Arabidopsis thaliana: one gene and its partners. The protein of the gene in region 1 interacts with the protein of each later gene in a biochemical or structural test. Each region holds a gene or a part of one and is shown on either strand. Other genes may lie near its edges.

Region 1 (5,122 bases):
ACCGTATCTGAGAAATTAGGCGTTTTCGCCTGCTATTGAGGATTGGATTGGTGTAAATTAAATCTGGAATCTGAGAAATTGTGATTAACCATATAGTTTAAGCTTTGCCAGATTCGTTGATCAGATTTACAAATTCTCAGGGTTTGAAGCTATTGTTAGTGAATGATTTTGATTAGTGTCTTCTCTCAATGACTTAGAATTGATTAAGAGTCTTAAGCATATCTTTTTCTTGAAGTGTTACTAACTTTTTGATTTTGAATTTTGTTGTACTCAAATCTGGATTGTTAACAGTGTTTCGAAAGGAGTTAGAGATAACCTGCAGTCTGCAACAAGTAGTATGCCTTCAGGAAAAGCTTTGATGTATTTCGGTTTACTTCTAGCAAGTGGTGTATTCTTCATCTTCATTGCCTTCACCATGTTTCTTCCAGTCATGGTGCTTATGCCACAGAAGTTTGCAATTTGTTTTACCCTTGGATGTGGATTTATCATCGGATCTTTCTTCGCTCTTCGTGGCCCGCAAAATCAACTCGCTCACATGTCATCGGCAGAGGTAATAACTAATAACAAAACCTTGTGTTGTGCAGCTTCTTATATCTGCTGTATTTCGTTTACATTTTTCTCTTTGGAATTTTAATTTCTTGTTTGCTGGCTTCTCCAGAGGCTTCCACTAACTTTAGGTTTCATTGCCACCATGGTTGGCACCATATATGTCTCGATGGTGCTCCATAGCTACATTCTCTCTGTGATTTTCTCTGCATTACAGGTACTTAAATTTCATCTTCCTTCCCGACTCTTGTTGGTGTTTATATCCTCTGTTTTTCATATGTTAAAATTTTCCTCTTCCCCATTTCACAAATCTTACCTATGAAGTTCTTTTTTACCCTGCATGTTTCATCTAGTAAGCTCTTGCCTCGTCGAAACATAATGTGTTTAGTAAAAAACATGTAGACTTTCTTATTGCTGTTTTAAAATACAAGTTGGGTTAGTATGAATTATGAAGAAGCCTTGAACGCCATATCTTTGGTTGGTCTCTTGGCTTGTTTTTGCAAATGCACTTACTTGCGACAGAAACAGCTTTGATATATTATTACTCACCCGTTATCGATATGGAATATATACTTTAAGAACTCACTAAATCATATCCTTCATGTCGGTTTAAAGATTAGTCACGTATCTGCACATTCTGTAAGTATAGTAATCTCATAAAAAACCTGGTCTCTGTTCTCTGTGAATCCATAGGTTATTGCACTGGCGTACTACTGTATATCATATTTCCCTGGTGGATCATCGGGAATGAAGTTCCTCAGTTCTACTCTTACCTCCTCTGTCTTCCGAATGTTTGGGAGATGAGCTTTCGCTTTGACCTATGCAAAGAAAATAACTTGATTCTCTCGTGTATAAAGAAAGATGAAAGATCTTCAACAGTGGTTAAATGACAAATCTGGTAAAATATGTTGGTCCAATGGCTCAAAGACAGTTTTGTTATAAATTTCCTATATTGATACTTTCTGCTAAATTGGTTCAAAACTTCAAATCACTAGCCACTGGATGAGGTATGGAACTTGAAGAGTTGCTTGGTGGATACATTCTCTAATCTAGGGTAAGTCGTTAGCTTCAATGTCTTACTGTGAATTATTACATCAGAATTAAGAAAGTTATTACACGTATGTTTTCACTGAGTTTACTACACTGGCAATGTGGCATACATCTCTTACTGCAAATTGCAGACAAGTGGTCAATCAAATCTTTTTTAGTTGGGCCCAAAATGTCTGTTATTGGATACGTTGGGCCTTAAAATGGCCCCCATCAGTCAAAAACATCACTGCTTGGAGAAGGATCTAGAAAAACTTGCAAGTTAGTTCAAACAAAATAAAGGAAAAAGAACGATCTAGAAGAAAGAAAAAAAAAGGAAAAGAAACCCTTATGGAGGTTCCCACACCACTCTATATATAATAACATCCTTCTCCTAAATCCCGCATCAGTACTTCTCTCTGCTCTCAAGATAATTTTGTTCTCTCAATTTCATTCTTAAACCCTAGTTCTTCGATTTTTTCCGATCTACGACAATGGCGGACGCTGAAACCTTTGCTTTCCAAGCTGAGATCAACCAGTTGCTTTCCCTCATCATCAATACCTTTTACTCTAACAAGGAGATCTTCCTCCGTGAACTCATCAGTAACTCTTCTGATGTACGATCTCTATCTCTCTCTACCTTATTGTATACTTGTGTATCTCGTTTGATTGATTTGGCGGATGGATCTGTAGATTTAGGTTTGGTTAGGGTTTAGTGTTCTTTCCGTTGGGAGAATTTTGGTTACTTACTGAAGTTGCGAAGCTTTTTGTGTACAAATCTATTGTTTAGGTTTAGTGTTGATACCAAGGATTTAAGTAGTTTCTTGTTAGATTACCAAGTTTTCGATTGCTTATAGTTGATTTGCATACATATTATGTGTATTGTTTGCTTACGATTGTGATTCTATTCTGGTGAAAACAGGCTTTGGACAAGATTAGATTCGAGTCCTTGACGGACAAGAGCAAGCTCGATGGTCAGCCTGAGCTCTTCATTCACATCATTCCCGACAAGACTAACAACACCTTGACCATTATTGATAGTGGTATTGGCATGACCAAGGCTGGTACGTAATTGATTTCATCCTAAATCAATTTGTTTCGATTTTGTTGTTGTTTGTTAGTCTTGCATCTGTGTTTGTTTTGTTGGCTAATTCGTGCTTCTTCTATTAGATTTGGTCAACAACCTTGGAACAATTGCAAGATCTGGAACCAAGGAATTCATGGAAGCACTGGCTGCTGGAGCTGATGTTAGCATGATTGGTCAGTTTGGTGTTGGTTTCTACTCTGCTTACTTGGTTGCTGACAAGGTTGTTGTTACTACCAAGCACAATGACGATGAGCAGTACGTGTGGGAGTCTCAGGCCGGGGGATCTTTCACTGTGACCAGAGACACCTCTGGGGAGACTCTTGGTAGAGGAACAAAGATGGTTCTTTACCTCAAGGAAGACCAGTTGGAGTACCTTGAGGAGCGAAGGCTTAAGGATTTGGTGAAGAAGCACTCTGAGTTCATCAGCTACCCAATCTCTCTCTGGATTGAGAAGACCATTGAGAAGGAGATCTCTGATGATGAAGAGGAGGAAGAGAAGAAGGATGAGGAAGGCAAGGTTGAGGAAGTTGATGAGGAGAAAGAAAAGGAGGAGAAGAAAAAGAAGAAGATTAAGGAGGTTTCTCATGAGTGGGATTTGGTGAACAAGCAGAAGCCTATCTGGATGAGGAAGCCAGAGGAGATCAACAAGGAGGAGTACGCTGCTTTCTACAAGAGTCTCAGCAATGATTGGGAGGAGCATTTGGCTGTGAAGCATTTCTCTGTTGAAGGACAGCTTGAGTTCAAAGCTATCCTCTTTGTTCCCAAGAGAGCTCCTTTTGATCTCTTTGACACTAAGAAGAAGCCCAACAACATCAAGCTCTATGTCCGTCGTGTCTTCATCATGGACAACTGTGAAGACATCATCCCTGAGTACCTCGGATTTGTGAAAGGTATTGTCGACTCTGAAGATCTTCCTCTCAACATCTCGAGAGAGACATTGCAGCAGAACAAGATCCTCAAGGTCATCCGCAAGAACCTTGTGAAGAAGTGCCTTGAGCTCTTCTTTGAGATTGCTGAGAACAAGGAAGACTACAACAAGTTCTACGAGGCTTTCTCTAAGAACCTGAAGCTCGGTATCCATGAGGACTCCCAAAACAGAACCAAGATTGCTGAGTTGCTCCGTTACCACTCAACCAAGAGCGGTGATGAATTGACTAGTCTCAAGGACTACGTGACAAGGATGAAGGAAGGTCAGAACGATATCTTCTACATCACTGGTGAGAGCAAGAAGGCTGTTGAGAACTCTCCATTCCTTGAGAAGCTCAAGAAGAAAGGTATTGAAGTTCTCTACATGGTTGATGCGATTGATGAGTACGCTATTGGTCAGCTTAAGGAATTCGAGGGAAAGAAACTTGTTTCTGCAACCAAGGAAGGTCTGAAACTGGATGAGACCGAAGATGAAAAGAAGAAGAAAGAAGAGCTCAAGGAGAAGTTTGAAGGACTCTGCAAAGTGATCAAAGACGTTTTGGGTGACAAGGTCGAGAAGGTTATTGTTTCTGACCGTGTTGTGGACTCACCGTGCTGTCTTGTAACCGGCGAATACGGCTGGACTGCAAACATGGAGAGGATCATGAAAGCTCAAGCCTTGAGAGACAGCAGCATGGCTGGTTACATGTCGAGTAAGAAGACAATGGAGATTAATCCAGAGAACTCCATCATGGATGAGTTGAGAAAGCGAGCTGACGCAGACAAGAACGACAAGTCTGTGAAGGACCTTGTGCTTCTCCTCTTTGAGACCGCTCTTCTCACTTCTGGTTTCAGCCTTGATGAGCCAAACACTTTCGGAAGCAGGATCCACAGGATGCTGAAGCTTGGACTGAGCATTGATGACGATGATGCTGTTGAAGCCGATGCTGAGATGCCTCCCCTTGAAGACGATGCTGATGCCGAAGGTAGCAAGATGGAGGAAGTCGACTAATTTATCACACAAAAGTCGACTAAATTATTAGCGGTGTTATAAGACTATGGTTTTCTTTTTTTCTTTTCGTTAAAACTTATGTTATTTTGGTGATTATCTTCACGAATTTTTTCTATGGTTTTATTGTTGTGAAGATATTTCTCTGAACTCGGTTTTATGACAAAGATTCTATTATGCTCAAGAGACTGATTCTTACATATCCAAGCTGAATTTTGTCAGGGTATTAGTAGTAACCTAGTTATGATTATATCTTCCTAATTAGAATTTAGAATAACAAATTATAAGAAAATAGAATAACACAGAGATCATATCTTCTGGCATACATATCTTGCTGTGAATTATATTGCATCCGAATTAGAAAAGTTGCCACAGTTAAATTGAAATGTTTTCACTAAAAAAAAAAAAAACTACGCTGCCAATTGCCAATCTCTTGCTGCAAAGTGCAAACAAATGGTCAATCAAATTTTTAGATGGGCCCAAAATGTCCGTTGTTGAATACTTTGGGCCTTAAAATCGACCCATCAGTCAAAAAGACTCGTCAATAT
Region 2 (8,019 bases), on another chromosome or scaffold:
CTCTGAGGCTGGTCAGAGGCAGAAGCTCCAACGGAAGGTGTAGCCGTGACAGCGCTGGCTGAGCCATTTTCAGGCGGTGGAGCTACTCCCCATTTACCTTCTGACTCAAGCGGCTCGAATATATGGACCCCTCCGTCTGACAGACCCACTGCAAACATGTTGGATTCTTGCGGATGAGCCGCTATCACCAGTGGATGGACATTCGAGTTGCTGCACAAAACATCAACATGAAGACTCAAGATTCATGATCCAACATTGCACTAGTTTATATTCATTTCATTAACTCACCTGAGAGAAGCTGGCAAATATGCAGAGGGATTGACTCTGCAACGCAATCGAAGGTTTGCAGAGCTGAAGACGCATATTGTAGCGTCCATGAAACTTGTGTATATCAATTGGCTATCACATGAGAATGTGGCATGTGTTATTGGAGCTGCTGATTCACGCACAGGCCACTGGAATCAAAATAAAGACATTTCTTTCTTCTATAAGGGTTACTCAGATGCAAGGAGAGAGAATGAACATATATAAAGACTAAAACCTGTTTCATGCATTCAAGCTTGGTTGTTTCGTATATAGCGAGCTGAGTTTCATGGACCACAAGGAAGTGTACTTGATCTTGATGAAACTGAACACGCGTGTCTGACAAAGAAGACGTGGATCTTCCCTGTGGAATTTGCAGAACCTTGCTTTTCTGCTTCTCCCATCCATCCGTGTTCCATACGCAAAGCTGCATACAAAAACCAAAAGATTCACACTAAGACTTCTAAGGATTTGGATTCTTTATTACAAAACATGAGATGAATCAGCACCTGAGCGTCTGCTCCAGACGAAACCAGAACGTTTAATACATTGGAGAAAGCGAGGCCGGTTATTCTCTTAGAATGTCCTTTAAGCTTGCTCTTAACCTCATCAACACGAACATTGTAAATCTGTATTGTACTGTCATCCATCCCGATCGCAATGATATTGTTATCTTGAGGGTGAAAAGCAAGAAACGTTGCGGCAGGAGGAGGCGGCATGAAAGTAGCCATTGTCTGCGCTTAGCCAACAACACAATTAAATGTAACAGATGAAGCATTGTTTGCATACATTAGACATAGTGCTGTCTGTAGCTGGGATTTTACCTTAAACGTCATCATATTAAACAAAGAGATCTTTCCTCCCGATGCTGACATCACGTAGGAATCATTTTTCGATAAAGCAAAACAGGGTACGGCTTCTTCTGGATTAGTTTCAGCCACATCGTTTGTCATTAAGATCCCGCTCGCTGGTTGCCACTGCTGAGGAGGTAAAGAAGCCGTTGCCTACACAAAATCTCAAATTGAATTTCATCATGATTTCAACTCTTTTGGCGATCTTAAAGGAAGATTTTAGACCATAAGTACCTTCCCAGTTGCATTACGGTCATTTCGCTGCCACTTCCATAGCAGATGAATAGCATTTGATGCCAATGCCAAAATTGCATTTCCCGAATTTGTGAAAATCAATCTCGATATCTGCTCAAGTTTTGAGTCATTAGAATCAAGCCATATAAGTACAGTTATGTCAGTCTATGTGTTAGTACCTTGGTGACTCTCATATTCTCAGGGAGTCTCAATGAACGGCACTGAGAGGGTTCGCCGACTTCAGTAAGCTTCCATACCTTAGACTTATCATTTGATTCTTCGGTAATCACTGGCTTCACATCCACCATATTCCGCGAATCTCCATTCTGTTGGAAAGGTAAGTGATCAACAACGATGATTGGACCCAGACCAAGAGATAGAGAAACTGACGGAAAAAGTATCGATTTTCGTACCATTCCAGGGATGGAAACGACAGAGGCAGGTCTCTCTACCATCGGAATGCTGTTGATTGCAGGCTGCAAATGTACATGAAAAATAAAGTGTTGAAGAAATTTCAAATTGGGGGTTAGTAATTTGCTTGTTGAAGATCCAGTGAGCACAAAATTCAGTACCTTGGAGGATTCAGAAGATAAGTTCTCGACTGTGTGCAATAGCCTTAGACCATCTGAGTTTGCCATAACCTTAATCATATTGTCATTTGCGGAAACAGCCAAGAGAGAGCCTTCCTTGTTAAATCTGATCCGTGGACTTGCCTACAAAACATAGAGAGCCATGATGGCTGCAAATGAAAACATTCGGTTCCCAGGGAGAATCGAGGTATTTGTTTGCATACCTGGAGACCTCCATCAGCATCAATGGCAGTCAAAAGCTGTATGGTGTCCATATCCCAGAACTTAATGGAGAAGTCGTCACCCGCAGCGAGATAACGGTTTTTAGTAGTATCAAACTGGACAACACCAAGGGAACGCTTGTGGAATCCTTGATAAGTTCTCTTCACAGCTCCTTCGCTTTCATTCCACTCAACTATGAACGATTCCCCATCTTTACTCGTCCCACAAGAAAATAGCCTATCCATGTGAATATAATAAAAAATAGATTTTAAATTTATTATCACTTCATGACGATACAGAACAGAACCACAACATAAAGATGATGAGAATCATGTTATAACCTAGTTCCATCAGCACTGTAGGCCATCGTTGTACACCAGCGACCAGGAGCTTCGTAGTCAACCCGAGAACCCATATTATCATATAACCATGCTTTTATTTTTCCGTCAAGAGCAGTTGAAAAGATAAACTTAAGCAGAAGAAGAAATAAACAAGTCAAAACCAAATAGAAACGAATTTCAACTTGTACTTAGCAAAAATGAAACCGTATAAATATTGCTACTTTACCTGAATGTTTTCCTTGTAGTGAGGGCAGATAGAGTAAACAGGAGCTTCATGGCCTTCAAAAGTATACCGTTTTACACCCGTTGCAGCATCCCAGACCTTAATTCACAGAATTGATTAGTCTGTTTTTAGAGTTCCAACAAAAAAAAAAAAAAACAAGAGTTAAGGAAATGAAAGAAGAAAAAAAATACTGAACCTTGATGGTTTTGTCATCACCACAAGTAGTAACACATAGTTGCTTGTTCGGAGTGGAAAATGCAATGTCATTGACACCGCCAACATGAGCATCAATCTGAAATAATAAAAAATGATTTTCATTACAGGAAATGAAAGAAATACTCCTAAAATGTTGTTGTAAACTATATCACACCTCAAGGTGTTGCCTCATGTCTTCACCACCGTGATAAGAGTATAGCTGTACAATATGTCTCGAATAAGCAACTCCTGCAGTTGAAAACGTGCGCATATGAATACTCAAATCGGTTGAAAGAGCATTTGTAATCTCAAGTCTTACCGAATAGGGAACCGTCCGGGCTCCAAATCACACGGTTGACAGAAACGACAGGTTCTTTCACCAAAGCAGCCTATAAAGACCAGAATTGTTGGTCACTGAAGTTTCAAATAGATATTAGATATTAATATTCTGGTTGATTTTCACAAAAGAAGACACCTGCAAGGGCATCGAACATTTACTCAAGTCCCAAACTTTGAAAGTCTTCTGGACTAGACGTTCTCGAGAACCGACTTCCCAGAGCCCAATATCCCCTACATTCGTACCAACTGGAACAAAGAAAATTGAAGCAAGAAACTTCTGGTTTTACAAAATTTCTGATGATGTATGTTACATGAAATATGCATACAGACCAAGAAACAGACCTAGTAGCAGAGTCTGTTTAATAGGATGGAAATCCATGCTCATGGGAGATGAGCCTTGGCTCAAAGTTCGTGCAACTGTCTTGGGCAAGTCATCAGGTGCTTTGAAGGTTTGATTATGACCATGAGCCTGCCCCGGGAATGTCATTGGTAACATGTTCACACCTAGACTCACCTACATATGGGGAGAAAGAAGAAATACGTTTAAAGTCTAAACTAGTACTACCAATTATGTAAAATTGGTATTGATAAGAAAATATATAATATTAATTAAGATTTTTCTCACCTCGTCAGAGATTCCCATAGGTCTGGTTCGCTTTGAGACATGGTCTGAGTCACCTGATGGATAGTCTACAGCGGAATTAGAAGGAGGAGTTCTCGGGTGTTTCAAGGCTGCTAAGAACCAAAAAGGAGAACATGTTACATAGATCACAGGTGAAACTTAAAGGTTCTGAAAAAAAGGCGAGGATAAAATTTAAGACTATAGTTCCACACAGCTTTTATAAAGAAACACCACATTTGATAAGCAAATAACCTTGGATGGATGGAGCACCAAGAGCAATGGGTCCTCCAGACACAGCTGGATGTGGGACAGAGGAAGGACTAGACATCCAACCAGCAAGAGGTGTCGGAACCGGAGAAGGTGTTGGTTGAAAAGGCTAAAGACATAAAGGTAAGTCAAGCACGGCATGTAAAGGTAACTATAGAGCTAGAACCAAAAGCAGTAGAAATGGCACTTATAGAAAATACGAAAAATCAGGTGGAAATTGACCTACCCCGTGTGCGCCTAGAGGAGGAAATCCCTCGGCTTTTGGTAATGATCCAAGAAGCGGATTGTTGACAGGGGATGGTGCTCGTGCATCATTTGGTAGGCGGCAGGAATGATCGACAAAGAGAGTCTTAATATCAGGATTAGGCCTTGGGTTCTTACAAAGCTGGTGTTGCCAATTTAAGCTGCAGGTTTATGTAGCCACATAGAAACAAGGAGTTAAAGTAGCTGACAAGAAGAAAATTTGTTGAAGTGAACAAGAAAGGACAAAGAATACCTCTGATTAATCAGAGTCCTGAGGCGTGAAGTTCTAAGGGTAGGAAACTGCAATTTATCACGGAATAAAGGATTAGCTTCAATCAACTTCTTGAGTTCCACCAACATGATAGCTCTGGCGGACTTTGTGTCCCCATACTTGGATAACTGCTCGTTCTCCCTGAAGTTTTCTAAGGTCAAGAGCTGAGTGATTTCCTTGAAAAGCTCCTCATTAAAAGTGGAAAACACTTTCAAATCTTTGACTAAAATATCGACAGCCTTGGGACGATCATGCCTAGATAGAAGCAGCAGCAGGTGTGATTGATTGGCAATATGAAAACATTTGATTCTTGTTGTTGTTGAGAGACACAAGTTACCTATCCAAGGCCTCGAGATACTTCTGCTTCCTAATCTCGAAGAAAATCTTCATGGAGTATCGATTATCATCAACTTTAGTAAAACCAGAGAGATACTTCTCAACCTCATCCCAGTTACCATTGTGCACCTCATCCTCAAAATACTTCATATTGAAGAAAAACCCAGATTCTTGTTCAAGCCTAATTAATAATCAATCAAGTTAATAATAATGCCTAATAAAAGACAAAAAGGAAAAGAGAGATCGGACATACTTATGAACAGTCTCTTTAAACTTCTCTTCATCTAAAAACTGTAAGATCAAGAAGACGAGCTCTCTGCTCAGAGAAGACATGATTGATTTTGCCACTCAGTCCGATAAAGCTATCAAGTCAGATGCAGAAAAACCCACCAGATCTGCATATCAATATAATGGCGACGATGATAACCTTACAAAACCATCAAATCATCCCAATTTACTGGGTTTCAGATATTCCTCCATTTAATTATTATTTTTAAAAAATGAAAATAGACACAGCCTCTTAATTACACAGTATATAACTAGATCTTTACAACTATCCTCCGGAAAATTCTCCAAAAGTCTCTATTCCGGCGGATTTAATTAGTGTTTAATTGGGCTACACAAAAATTAGGTCTTCCTAGTATTATTATTGTCCACCGAATTAAATATAAAGCTTAAAATGGCCATCTTTTTCACTTCCATGAGACAAAAACAAAAATCAAAAACCCAGAAAAGCTACGATTTAGATATTAAACCAAAAATGAAAGACCTAGATACGTTACTTGCCATGAAGAAGAAGAAGACGATCGATTTCAGAAACAAAGGCCAGAGCTTCAGTTTCTCTCTCCTGATATTGAAAGAGGCCAAGGATTTGGGTTTTTTGGACTCTCCTCTCTCGACCAGAAAGTAAGAAAAAAACTAATGGAAAAAAAAAAAACAAGTTTTCTCTCTCTCTCTCTCTCTCTCTTCAGGCTTATTTATACGAACATTAAAATCTTGCAGAAATGGAGACTTTAATTTAAAACCAAAAAATAAAAAGTGATTTTAATATGCGAAGGTGACGGATAACGGAGTCTAATAAGACAATGCACCTATCACACGATAAGGGAGCTGATTTTGATAAGCACGTTGACTTATATATAAGTACAGATTAAAGTTTAAACCAGCATATACGACTTAGCCGGCTACAATTCTCGACGTTATCGGCTCAGAATCTCTAGCTGCTAGCTGTACTCCAAGTAGACATGATCCTCTGTGTCACAACATGAGTACACCCTCGGTGAGTGCCGTCGATCTTGTACGATGAACCTTAAAGGATATTCATCCAACGGTTTGAAAGCGAAGTAGCTGCGTCCCCACATTTCCCTCATAACACGACAAAGCTTTTCCTTCTGAAATGCATCTTTAAGTTCCATTGCCCTTGAAAATGACAAATATTTACCTAAATTGCCATTTTTATTCTTGAGATGCGGTACTCGTTGAACAAAAATCACGTGATTGAGAGATAATGGAAGAGGTTATCAGTTAAATTCTCCCGACATGATAACTCTTAAGCCTTCTCGTGATTTGGAGTCGTTAATAATTTAGTGAGACTCGTTTAATTTCTAATCATTTAACTGTTTTGGATTGTTTTTGTTAATCGCATAATGTGATGTGAGCTATATATATATTGACTATTGAGGATTATAATCGAATTTATTTACTCGATGACTAATAAAATGATTTTGTTTGTTTATTCACAGCGTAATTGGTATTTTCGTTATATATATTCGACGGTTTAATTACAATGAACCAATATGTTAATTTTATAATGTGTCTAGTGTTATTTTATATTGGTCTTTCAGACTTTGACAAGAAACATCGAGTTTGACGTCATTACCGTAAAGTATTTTGGCACCAAATGAAGATCAATATTATTTGTTTTAATTGCTCAAGAATGATGATGGTTGCTTTTGCTAAAGTTATGGGTGCACAAGAAAAGTATATAACTTTTGAAAAGCACATTTTTATTCTTTTAATTTACACGGTAACACGAGTATCTCTACTTTTCTAGTAATGCTTACACAGATTGATATCTTGATTATTTGGATATAAGTTCATTTGCCGATTTAGCTTGCTTTTTTATTCAAATACTGATTAACATGGAATGCAAGAAAAAGGAAAAAAAAACCTTCTTCTTGCCATGGCGAGTGAGAGGACTACTAAAAAGAATACAGTAATTCCAAACTGATAAATATGAGTTTTTACGTGTGGAAAAAAAAAATTTGAGTATTACCTTAGCTCTGCAAGATATATTAAGAATACAGCAAATAAAGAAGAAATCAAATAAGCATATTAGATTTGTTTTCACAAACTGAAAAATCCTCAAATACATAAAAAGAAAAACACATAAAAATCCAAACTAATAAATATGATTAATGATTCACTGATTTTCGCCTGAACTAAATTATGGTCGTAAGTTTTTTGTAAAAAATTGTTAAAAAAACAAAAACTGTCTTATCGAGACTTATAACAAATGATGAAAATCTGAAGAAATAATATATATTTTTCAAATAATTATGTGGTTTGACATGTCAACGTCTTTATTATCAATCAGAAGACAGTAAGGAACATTAACAATGAAAAGGGAAGTTATAAATTAAGATGTCAATATCAGACAACTACTCGTCAATCCATTATGATACGTTTCATTATGAGTCACTAGGTACATGTGCATGATGTAATTATCACTTATTAAACAGATTATAATTTTCAACTAAAAATTCGATTTGGTTTCTAAATAATATTTACAAACAATACAAATCATCAATGACAAAAAAATTGTTTGCTACAACGTCAAACTATTTTAAATGAGTAGATTCTCGATAGATCCTCTACAATCTACATACTTTACTTTGAAATAACTCTCCACTCTCCAGATCAGAACACAAATTGTAATAGATTAATAGCTCAAAAATAGATGAGTACTTCTCTTTAGAAATATAAAAATCAGACTAACACGTT
Region 3 (5,582 bases), about 15 Mb from region 1:
ACTCATTTTTTCCCTAGCATATCAATTTTAAAAAAATAGTTTGCAATTTACGGCAATAAAATGTGGGCAACAAAAACAAAACTGAATATTTACATTCGTTTTCATTGTACAATAGAGGGTACATTCAAAAAATACAACTCACTCATTATCCTAGATTGCTTTGCCATATAATAGTAGAATACGTAAGAATGTGTCTACGATGTATTCTAAAGGATAACAAGGGCTATGTGAATTATAAAATCAAGGCTATATATGTGTATGCATATTTTGGTTCGTGTAAACATGTTAAAAAGTTGCTTTGTTGTAATCTATTTAGAAGCACATGCATGTTGTAATCTAGCTTCGAGAGATGTTGCACAACATGTATCAGAATGCTTTAGCAATATTGCTTTATTAATTATAAGTTGAAGATATTGTTTCCTTCTTGTTTGTTATATGATATAACTTTATTAATCCATTGGTTTCATTGTGACCAAGAAGAAGAGGTTTGCTAGAATTTCCTCGTTCTCGCTGCAATAGTACTTAGTGATTAGTTAATTGATAATCATAAATCATATCAACATTCACTTCTCTCAGACTGCTATCATTTAGTGAATCATAATCTCTGCTAATATTGAAAAATTGGGAGACGAGAGATAGATGAGAGTTGTAGCTAGCTTTAGTCAAAGTGGTCCTCTTCTAATGTGACTATACCACCGTTTCCATTCTTTCAAACATTGAAACATTTATGCTGCGGTGGAGAGAAATAAACATTTCAGAAAAATTAATTGATAGATGTACTCGTCGATGAAACTATATCGAAACAATATTGAAAAAAGTATTACCAAACACAACTTATATGTCACTAAAACTCGTCTTTTTTCTTTGTATGGTCAAAACACTAAAACTCGTTCAACAACTGAAAAGATTGTCGTATTGAAATAAAATTCTTTGCCCGAATAGTTGTACATATGTATTTTTTTGTTAAGATCATTTTGATATTTAAGATACTAAAAATTCTGCAGAAGACATGCATATTTTAAAGTTTAATAAATGGATTACTTTAGAGATTGAGTCTATGAAACTGAATACTAAACATTTTTGGATTCCAACAAATATATTATGGCTCTGAATGGTAATCAAAACCGCACTTAAAACCGCACCGCAACAGTACTGTAACAGTATTAAAATCTCTACATATTCATATGTATCTATATATTTTCGTTACTATTTGAACCGCACCGTACTTCTCCCGCACCGCAAAACGCAATCACCATTCGGAGCTTATATCATGGAGATGTAGCTGGGCAAACATATGATATCGATATCCAGACCCTAAAGAATTTTAAAATATCAAAAAATTATTTGTACCCTCAAACAAATTTAAATTGAATTTTATTGACACTTTAACACGTGTAACAGTTAAATTGGACGACTCTTTCTAAAACGAAATAAAAAAGAGTTTAACAAGAGATTCGTTTCAGTTTAAGAAGAAAAAAAACACGAGATTAGTCTTCCAACATGGACAAGGACATGACAATTTGCACGTAATCATATAGTTACGTTAATCAATACAATTACGTAAATTAATTTATTATGGCACGTCACAGCATCATCGTAGATCAAGGGTAAAACAGTCATTCTCCATCATCCAGGCATATTCCGGTCGGTGAATTGAGGAGGTTGAGCGATAAATTTTCCAATTCGATTCTATATTATTGGAAACTACTTTCGGGTCGGCAAAACAATTCTCCTTCGATTTTCCGATTCTCACAAACTCAATCTCGATCCAGATTCCGAGCTTATCCTTCTCTGGCGAATTTCGATTTTCTGTGTTTCCGATCTGATTACAGAGAACCACATCGAAGCTTCGAGAAAAAAAAACACGATGTTTAACGGGTTAATGGATCCTGAGATGATTCGGCTCGCTCAAGATCAGATGAGTCGTATGACTCCTGCTGATTTCGCTAGGATCCAACAACAGGTTTCGTTATTTTTCCTGATTCGAATTATTCGATCGATTCTGAGGAGAATTTGTTTGATTTGATTTGATTATGGCTTTGTATGATGAATTTATACCATTGTTTATTATACAGATGATGTCAAATCCAGATTTGATGAATATGGCAACAGAGAGTATGAAGAACATGAGGCCTGAAGATTTGAAACAAGCTGCGGAACAGCTTAAGCATACTCGGCCTGAAGATATGGCTGAGATTAGCGAGAAGATGGCTAAAGCTTCCCCTGAAGATATTGCAGCTATGCGTGCTCATGCTGATGCTCAATTTACTTATCAGATCAATGCAGCTCAGATGCTTAAAAAACAGGTAACAATTGACTTCCTGAGAGAAGTTTTCTATTGAATTTTGCTTTCCTGATTATAAAGTAAGGAACAAGAATGGCTTCAGCAAGTGGACCTTTGTGTAATTTGATGTTAATCTCATTTTCTACTACGTTTGGCAGGGAAACGAGCTTCATAGCCGAGGAAATTTCAGCGATGCCGCAGAGAAATACTTGCGTGTAAGTCTGCAGACGTATCTCATTTGTCATGCTACTTGACAAGAAGAGTTTTATTTGTAACCTGATATGCGATTCTTTTCTACTTGTTTACAATGCTCTTGGACCATATCTCAGGCGAAGAACAATCTGAAAGAGATTCCATCTTCTAAAGGTGGAGCAATTTTGTTGGCTTGTTCTCTCAATCTAATGTCGTGTTATTTGAAGACGAATCAGCATGAAGAGTGCATAAAGGAAGGTTCTGAGGTATATTCTTTATGCTCTTAATTTTCTGAAAACTCATAGATGAAAACATTTTTAGGAAAAAGAGAGATGGCAATCTTTTGGCTTCTTTTTTGTAGATGTAACACATGATGTCATACAGCGTTTTATGATCTATTCAAAACTGTTTCGACATTCTTCTGATAAATTTACATTCTTACATTATTTCAGGTTTTGGGATATGATGCAAGGAATGTCAAAGCCCTATACAGAAGGGGTCAAGCTTACAGAGATTTGGGCTTGTTTGAAGTGAGTTCTTCTGTTGCTTATGGAACTTTCTTGAGATTCCTTGTCGATATATATGTTTGTACTGTAGATATGTCCTGACTATATGTTTGCTCAATGCTCATTCACTCTCTTAAACTATAAGGATGCCGTCTCTGATCTAAGCAAGGCCCATGAAGTTTCCCCAGAAGATGAGACAATTGCCGATGTGTTAAGGTATGGATTTTTATATTCATTACTGGTAATGTCATACTTTTCAGTTCTGCTTATCTCAGAGGTTTTGATATTAACATTGAAAAAATAACTTTTGACTTGAAGTATTATCTTTTCTGATGCAGAGATGTTAAGGAAAGATTGGCTGTCGAGGGACCTGGCAAGGCATCAAGAGGTATAATATTATTCCTTATGATTTATTCGAAAGAATTCAGTGTATTATGTCAGACCAGACGTTTCTTTACTACATCAATGATATGCTTCGTCCATGAATATGGAAACGAACTGAAAAATGTTATGTTGTTTGGTTATTAGGTGTGGTGATTGAAGACATAACTGAAGAAAATAATGTTACTTCCGGAGAGAATAAAAAACCGTCAAAAGAGGCTAATGGTCATGCTCAGGGCGTAAAGACTGATGTTGATGGATTGCAAGCTCTCAGAGATAATCCAGAAGCAATCAGGTTCGACACCTTTCCAAACATTAGTGTTTGATGTGTTGTTTCATCTTTTTGTCTCCTAATCTTGAAGACAAATATAATCTAAAGCATCCTTTTTCTGCTACATTTGGCACGATTAGTATGATTTTCTAATTGTTTTTATTCTTTCTATGGCCTGCAGAACTTTCCAGAATTTCATTTCAAAAACTGATCCCGATACACTTGCTGCTCTAAGCGGAGGCAAAGCTGGAGACATGTCACCGGACATGTTCAAAACTGCGTCAAGTATGATAGGCAAAATGTCACCTGAAGAGATTCAAAAAATGGTTCAAACAGCCTCTTCGTTTAAAGGAGATAACCCTTTCGCCCCGACTGCGCCATCTACCGAAAACGGTTTTACACCCACACCTGACATGCTTAAACTTGCATCTGATATGATGGGTAAGATGTCACCAGAAGAGCGTGAGAGGATGTTTAACATGGCATCGTCTTTGAAAGCAAACGCTCCAGCTTCAACATCATACGGCAATGCAGAAGCATCTGAACCACGGGAAAGTTTAGGAGCGAGTGGGAGTTCTTCGGGAAATTCCTTTGTGGCTCCAAGAAGCGGTTTCGAACCAAGCATCCCTTCTGCTCCGCCTGCTGACTTACAGGAACAGATGAGAAACCAAATGAAAGATCCAGCGATGCGACAGGTTTGATCATTTTCGGTTTATGTTTTACCAATTTAGTCAACATAATGTGATTGTTGATGTTCATATAGTAGTTTCTCTGTATATTGGTAGATGTTCACGTCTATGATAAAGAACATGAACCCTGAGATGATGGCTAGCATGAGCGAACAATTTGGAATGAAGCTTTCTCAAGAAGACGCTGCAAAAGCTCAGCAAGCCATGGCTTCTCTTTCTCCCGACGCCTTGGAGAAAATGGTACGAATTCGGTTTAGTAAAACCAAAAGAACATTCAAAGTTGATTGTATAGTTGTCTCAATTGTAAACACGTTGTTGCAGATGCGATGGGCGGATCGGGCTCAAACCGGGATGGAGAAAGCGAAGAAAGCAAAGAAGTGGTTGTTCGGAAAAGGCGGATTGATCTTTGCAATATTAATGCTCGTTTTAGCAATGGTCCTTCACCGTCTCGGCTATATTGGAAACTAGAGGAAACAACGGTATCTTAAGGCTTAATCCTTCGTGAAGATAAAACCAGTCTTCGGTGGGTTCGTTTAGTTTGTAAAACTGTAACATCGTTTTATCTTCTTTTTCTTTCCTCTAACTCTCAGCTTTTTGTTAGTCCACTTGTGTCTAAATTTCTTTACACTTTCTTCTGTAGTGAATTTTAAATTAGAGAAAATACGAATATTTCCTTATATTCGTTATTTTATAAACATAATTATGCTTCTGGTAGAGCGCCTCTACAAGAAAATTGGTTATTTGCGTTGGGAGATTCTTTTAGCAAATAGAAAAGACCATTTCTAATGGTTGTCTCTATTTTTCTTTATAAATATAGAAGGAAAAATAGAGATTTTTATTTTCTATTTTTATATATAGAGAAAAAAAATAAAGATCTCTATAATAGAGGTAAGAATAAAGATGAGTTAGAGTAAAATAGAGGCAAAAATAAAGTTTAAAGACAAAAATAAAGATGAGTTGGAGATGTTCTAAAGAGAAAAGTTCGAGTAAAAAATTTTTTTTTCGCAATCCAACGTTTGCAAATTTTGCGAGGAGAAATTTTGAAATAAGTATATAAAATCATCTTAAACTTTATTAAATTCATAGATATTAAAAAAATAAAAAAACTTCATTAAATTTTAAATTATATTTTTTTTTGTGCACCCAAAATTTAGATAATTTAATTATTTTAATATACGACTGAATACACATTCTTCAAAAGTAAAAAATAAAGAAAAAACTTAGAAGGATGAAGTACAAGAGAAGGAAACACGTGTCTT
Region 4 (5,659 bases), on another chromosome or scaffold:
GGTGGAGGTCCTCCGAGACGGTCGCTGTAATTTGTGATTGTCGTTGGTCTACACTTATTAGTATAAAACTGTTTCAGTTCTACCTGCTCTATTAAGTTAAAGATTGATTTTTAGCAAAACACACATATTAAGAAAACAATATAAATATATTATTTTATTATTTTATAGTTTTCTATAACTCTAAACCAATGATAATTAACTATTTTTCTTGGAAATTACAGTTCACAATACTAACCAATTAATATCACATGAAAAACTTTAAAAATCAATCTTTTAGAAACAATTCTTTTTCTAGAAAATCAATCATTTAGAAACAGAAGAAAGTATTGTTTTCGCAAAAAAAAATAATCGTATTTGATTTTATTTCATAAGGAGGGAAATAGAAACAGTTCCCAATGGATTTTTTGTAAGCATATATGCATGCTGCGGAAACCAAAATTCCCTAGCATTGTAGTGCCCACTTGCTGATTCAAGCAAACGTGAAAAAAATCGTGGAAGAAAGCAAAGAACTCAGAGTGGCCAAGTAACTCAAAATTTCATTAACAGTCTCAAGCACTGAATCTATCCTTTGGGTAAAAACAATTTCCCAGTCGATATTACTATGCATCAGTCTTTGCCATGATGCAAAAGTAAAAACATGTTTACCAAAATGAGGGAAATAGAAACAATTCCCAAAGTCCTTTTTTGAATGTTTTTTCTTTCTTTATATGCTTCTTTTCACTTTTTGTTAGTCTTCTTCCTCACTATCCGACCAAACCTACATAGACAACATCAAAAACCCTGAGAGTTAAATTAGTTGACATAAAGCTTACACTAGGTCAGTTTTCTGAGATTAACAACAAATCTTAGGCTTACCCTAAATGAAGCAGAGCACCCCCCCCCCCCCCTATACGAACATTTTGCGGTACTGCTTTTTCTCTTCGTTGTCTCTAAAGGCAATCTGCAACACATGGTTATTAACGTCAGCTCTAAGATTTTATACTAGAAGTAAAGTAACTGCAAAAAGAACTTGTGTTCTTTATCCGCATACCGACCTTTTTCATAACAGCAGCATATTCTTTCTTGATACCAGCTGAAAAATCAACTCACAGAAATAAATGCTAGTTAGATTTCTCTCGTAATATATTTAAGTGTGTTGTACTATGTTCATACATTGATAATGATGAACCAAACTTGTCAAACCACAACTAATAGAAGCTTGATGAATCACTCACCGTCATTAGGTTCGAATTGAAGAGCTTTCTCAAGGCTTTCAGCAGCAGCATCGACGTTATTAAGAGCCATGTATGCCTAACATTATAAACAAACGCAGATAAGAAATAGACACCATCTTCCTCTCATGAGAAATCTAGAATTTTCGTTATTGTGGTCTAGGTTCTAGAAAACTGTCAAACAATAAGTTTTTAAGTACCTGGCCTTGTCGAAACAATGCTTTAACATTGTTATCTTCATCACGCATAGCAAATTCAGTGTCCAACAACGCTCCTTTTGCATCTCCGAATTTGAGTTTGCAGGCCTGCCACAACAGCCAGTTACAATACAATGAGATAACATAGTAAAAAAAAATCGGTTATACAGGCACAACAAAGCAATTAAGTTGGACAAGTGAAAACACTGGCAACGTAAACAGAGATGCAAACAATAATTCATATGAGCAATGTATGTCCCACAAGCATAATCTCAGAGAATATTATCCTGCTTATGTCAAGGTCAACCTACCCTACTTTTTCCCAAGAAATTAATCAAACAGCAGAAACCAACATAAATGACAGGTCTGCAGTGTAGAGCACTTCAAATTAATTTTTAGTTCACAATCAATTGCTTATCATTCTATCGACGGTACAGCTCATCCGTAAGAATTAAGCAGATTCAACAAAAAAAATTGTAATGTTAAAAACCCAACAGAGTAAGAAATTTAAGTTCTTTTGGAAAAATCAACGACTCCAAAGACAATCAATCTTCAGATGGTACGTAAAGCACACACACATATAAGGTAGATATGTTCAACTTACAAGAAAAGATATCAACAAGGATGTATGTAGCTTTAAAAAAGGTGTAAAAGCATGATGAACTTACAGCACTATTAGTGAAGATCTGCGACTTTGTCTTACGCAAGGCAGTACTCGTCTCTACAAGATCCCAAGTAGAGAGTGAGTGGGAACATTGGTATGGATAGTATAAATATTTTTTGAGATGAAGTAAGTGGAAACATATATAGAGAGAAAAACTGATAAACCACCTTCATCAATGCCCTCTTTCTCCCAGCAAATATCCAGATAGCGTAAAGCCTTACGGTACTTTCTAAGAGCCATCTTATAGTCTTGTTTCTGAGAGTAAATCAAGGTCAAAAACAGATCAGACTCACAGAAATGAAAATATGGAACAGACAAACGTATATATTCAATTTAAAACAATGGAAAAAGCACCTTAAAGTGCTCATTCCCATGAGCCTTGACAAAATCAACAGTCTCCATCCACCAAGATAACTCAGCTGGGCTTTCATTCAGATCAATAGGCCAGTCAGGGTACACATCACCATCCTTGAAAAAGTCACAAATCCCATCATCTGCACCCTCAGGGATTTCTCCACAGTCATGGATCACAACATCCTGAGAAGGACAAGACTGTTCCTCTATGCTAACATGCTCAATCGACCGAACAACACCCATTCCTTTCGTAACCCTTCCAAACACAACATGTTTCCCATCTAAATGAGAAGTGCGAGTTGTCGTAATGAAAAACTGAGAGCCATTAGTGTTGGGACCAGAGTTAGCCATAGAGAGCATCCCTTTCCTCTCATGTTTCAGCTCAAAATTCTCATCGTCAAACTTCAAGCCATAGATAGACTCACCACCAGTACCATCATTAGCTGATATATCCCCACCTTGTATCATAAACCCCTTGATAACACGATGAAATCGATTCCCCTGTAAACAAATACACCAAATACCATAAGTACATCATCCTATAGTACAATTTCAACCTAAAGTTTTGATCTTTACCTCACCACTACAAACTACAGTAACCTAATTGCAATACTGAAACAAAGTCAGAAGCTATTCAGCAATACGAGCAAAAACCCATTAAACCTCAAATCATAAGCATTCAGAACCATTCTATAGTACAATTGCATCCTAAAGTTTTGATCTTTCTTTCACAACTAATTGCAAATTTAACCAAGTTTTGATCTTTATAAACCCCAATGACGAATGACCCATTAAACCACAAACCCTAAATCACAGAAACAACAAATACCCATTTCTACATTTCATACATAAGAGAGTATAAACAAAGATATAGAGAGAAAGAGAGAACCTTGTAATGGAGAGGTACACCAGTATTTGGACCTAAACCCTTCTCACCGGTACAGAGTAATCGAAAATTCTCAGCGGTTTTGGGAACAACATCATCGTAAAGCTCAATAACAATCCTTCCTTCAAGCTCACCTCCAATGCTAATGTCCATGAAACACTTTGACCTACCCATCTTCTTCTTCTTCTTCTTCCTCTTGCTTTCTTGAAACCGAAACAAAGACGAGACAGAGAGAGAGAGAGAGAGAGAGAGAGAGAGAGAGAGAGAGAGAGAGAGAGAGAGAGAGAGAGAGAGAGAGAGAGAGAGAAAGAATCAGAGGAAGAGACAAAGAACAATGGTGTGAATCTCTGTCTCAGTAGCTTCCGTCTCTAAAAGACTGTAGACGGGGACTTGTCTCTTATTAAACGCAGAAATCAAAACGACAGATAGAAGAAAACCCTAGGACCCACTTTCTTCCTCCAACAAATTTTGTCTCTTTTTATTTATTTTTAACTTTTAATTAATTTATTTATTACTTGCTGCCAAAATTAAAAAATAAGAAATTTATTACTCGTCCCTTCGGGTACATTCCATAAGAGTGGATAGTAGGTGATTGCCCACTATGGCCACTACACAATAAATATTTGGTTTTATTATTTCTTTTTCTTAAAAATTATTTAATTTTTTTGCAAAATATTATTCTTTTTTTTTAGGGAAAAAATCTAAAAAAAACCCAACTATTTTTTATTTAAAACTTTAATACCCAATTGTTTTTGATTGGAACCTAAAGTTCCAAAATATTAAATTTTGTTCAAGAAAAACACTATTTAATTGTTCGTGGTTAAATCATTCATGCGCGTTAACAGACGTTAATTTGGCTGACGGAATCACTAAACCGGGGTTAATGGTTAACAATCCGCGGTTTAATTGACTAACTAAAAGACTACAGTACCCTCATTTGTTTTCCCCCAAATCGATTTGGGATTGAGAAACCCTAACTCCCCAAATTTCTAATTTCTCTCCAAAAAACTTAGAAATTGAAAGAGGCGATGATTCGAAGCGTTTGATCGGGTATATCTGCGTTCGATCCAGTTGGTAAACAGTCGAAAAGATGAGGTATGTCGATTTGTGTGTTGTGGGTCTGTCGATTTGAATTTTTAGGGTTCTTAAGTTTGAAATTTTCTGGGTTTGTTTGAAATTGGGTTAGGGGTTATGAATCAGTTAGGTTATAGTTTGTTTACCACTACTAATCGGTTAATTTCTATTTTCCAGTGATTTCGAGTGTTTGAAACTCAACATAAACTATAGAGGCGATGTATCCTTCACGGACCAAGGGTTCGATTACTCTGGAGGGGTCGAGGCGAAAGACATGGTGATGGATCCTGATCTGATGACATGGTCTATATTCGACGATTCTTGCAAAGAAAATGGAGTCAATGGTGAAGTCGAATCGATTTGGTACAAGCTTCCAGAAGAGGAAATCTATTCAGCAAGAGTTATCGGTGCCGACAAAGATGGTGGGATAAGGGAGTTATGTCGTGAGGCGATGATTGGTGGGGAAGTTGACATATACATCGTCAATGCCGTCTCTGTACCTGCAGCTTTTCCGCTTCCAAATGATGTTGTAGAAGACGAGGAACTTGGAGTTGAGGATGATGATGCCGAAGATATCATAGACGAGGAGCCTGCAGCAGAAACTAATGAGTGCCCTGAAAGAGTACAAGCTAATGGAGAAGATCCAGTAGAAGAAAGAAGGCACGATGATCCTCGGTTTGAGGCTTTCTTTGACGAAATTCACAATGGTACAGAAGCTGCAGATGATGTTGTTGATGATGCTGCAGCTGAAGACATTAACACAGTACCAGAAGAAACCGTTGCTGAAGAGGTTGAAGATGAAGATGAATTTGAGAGACAGTGTTATGATGTAGAGCGTCCGGATCATGCAATGGACACAGATGATGAATGGGATGCGTATGACCAAGCAGAAAGATCATCATCTCGACAGAAGTTTTCGAAGGATAAACCTCCATACATTTGGATGTTGCAGACTTTCAATAGTGGTTAAGAGGTTAAGGATCAACTCTTGCGGTATGTATTGAAGATGAATTATGATGTGAAGTTGTGTAGATGGGGTGCAAATAAGTTGGCAGCAATCTGCAGCCATGAAAATTGTGAGTGGAAGATATACTGCTCCACTCATAAGCGTTCAGGTATATGGAGAGTATAAACTTATGTTGATAAGCATCACCATGCTAAGAGTGGGAAAGCAAAAATGCTGAAACAGGGAGTCATCGCTAGGATGTTCAGAGATGAAGCAAGAAGGCGGCCTTTTTTGAGATGGACTGACATCAAAGATGAGATTATGATG

Evidence for each region.
Region 2: the proteins of HSP81-2 (region 1) and TPR1 form a complex in vitro, tested with the Arabidopsis thaliana proteins (one study listed by BioGRID).
Region 3: the proteins of HSP81-2 (region 1) and TPR7 form a complex in vitro, tested with the Arabidopsis thaliana proteins (2 studies listed by BioGRID).
Region 4: the proteins of HSP81-2 (region 1) and SQN form a complex in vitro, tested with the Arabidopsis thaliana proteins (one study listed by BioGRID).

What each region holds. Positions count from the first base shown.
Region 1 is NC_003076.8:22,684,857-22,689,978, forward strand, and holds HSP81-2 (heat shock protein 81-2), read left to right. Parts: upstream 1-1,975; 5' UTR 1,976-2,066; coding exon 2,067-2,276; intron 2,277-2,494; coding exon 2,495-2,636; intron 2,637-2,742; coding exon 2,743-4,577; 3' UTR 4,578-4,615; downstream 4,616-5,122. Other genes in the region: AT5G56020 (Got1/Sft2-like vescicle transport protein family), read left to right, coding at 292-550, 659-763, 1,240-1,350. UniProt on the Arabidopsis thaliana protein: Molecular chaperone. Involved in RPM1-mediated resistance. Component of the RPM1/RAR1/SGT1 complex. May stabilize RPM1 and protect it from SGT1-mediated degradation. Associates with RAR1 which may function as co-chaperone. Possesses ATPase activity.
Region 2 is NC_003070.9:30,261,098-30,269,116, forward strand, and holds the start of TPR1 (TOPLESS-related 1), read right to left. Parts: upstream 6,029-8,019; 5' UTR 5,803-6,028; intron 5,444-5,802; exon of another isoform or gene 5,412-5,443; 5' UTR 5,350-5,411; coding exon 5,270-5,349; intron 5,198-5,269; coding exon 5,018-5,197; intron 4,936-5,017; coding exon 4,663-4,935; intron 4,571-4,662; coding exon 4,393-4,570; intron 4,276-4,392; coding exon 4,152-4,275; intron 4,013-4,151; coding exon 3,903-4,012; intron 3,792-3,902; coding exon 3,620-3,791; intron 3,524-3,619; coding exon 3,414-3,523; intron 3,328-3,413; coding exon 3,258-3,327; intron 3,188-3,257; coding exon 3,114-3,187; intron 3,036-3,113; coding exon 2,940-3,035; intron 2,843-2,939; coding exon 2,747-2,842; intron 2,649-2,746; coding exon 2,521-2,648; intron 2,417-2,520; coding exon 2,182-2,416; intron 2,102-2,181; coding exon 1,961-2,101; intron 1,865-1,960; coding exon 1,802-1,864; intron 1,715-1,801; coding exon 1,568-1,714; intron 1,500-1,567; coding exon 1,389-1,499; and 10 more. UniProt on the Arabidopsis thaliana protein: Transcriptional corepressor. Activates TIR-NB-LRR R protein-mediated immune responses through repression of negative regulators such as CNGC2/DND1. Negative regulator of jasmonate responses.
Region 3 is NC_003076.8:7,271,528-7,277,109, forward strand, and holds TPR7 (Tetratricopeptide repeat (TPR)-like superfamily protein), read left to right. Parts: upstream 1-1,543; 5' UTR 1,544-1,867; coding exon 1,868-1,963; intron 1,964-2,075; coding exon 2,076-2,306; intron 2,307-2,442; coding exon 2,443-2,499; intron 2,500-2,613; coding exon 2,614-2,742; intron 2,743-2,928; coding exon 2,929-3,006; intron 3,007-3,127; coding exon 3,128-3,198; intron 3,199-3,320; coding exon 3,321-3,370; intron 3,371-3,510; coding exon 3,511-3,658; intron 3,659-3,815; coding exon 3,816-4,329; intron 4,330-4,419; coding exon 4,420-4,563; intron 4,564-4,644; coding exon 4,645-4,791; 3' UTR 4,792-5,052; downstream 5,053-5,582. UniProt on the Arabidopsis thaliana protein: Plays a role in protein import into the endoplasmic reticulum (ER). May function as chaperone docking protein during post-translational protein translocation into the ER. Chaperone receptor mediating Hsp70-dependent protein targeting to chloroplasts.
Region 4 is NC_003071.7:6,877,258-6,882,916, forward strand, and holds SQN (peptidyl-prolyl cis-trans isomerase / cyclophilin-40 (CYP40) / rotamase), read right to left. Parts: upstream 3,642-5,659; 5' UTR 3,487-3,641; coding exon 3,316-3,486; intron 2,928-3,315; coding exon 2,427-2,927; intron 2,328-2,426; coding exon 2,240-2,327; intron 2,130-2,239; coding exon 2,077-2,129; intron 1,517-2,076; coding exon 1,412-1,516; intron 1,291-1,411; coding exon 1,215-1,290; intron 1,073-1,214; coding exon 1,035-1,072; intron 941-1,034; coding exon 887-940; 3' UTR 856-886; intron 758-855; 3' UTR 517-757; downstream 1-516. UniProt on the Arabidopsis thaliana protein: PPIases accelerate the folding of proteins. It catalyzes the cis-trans isomerization of proline imidic peptide bonds in oligopeptides.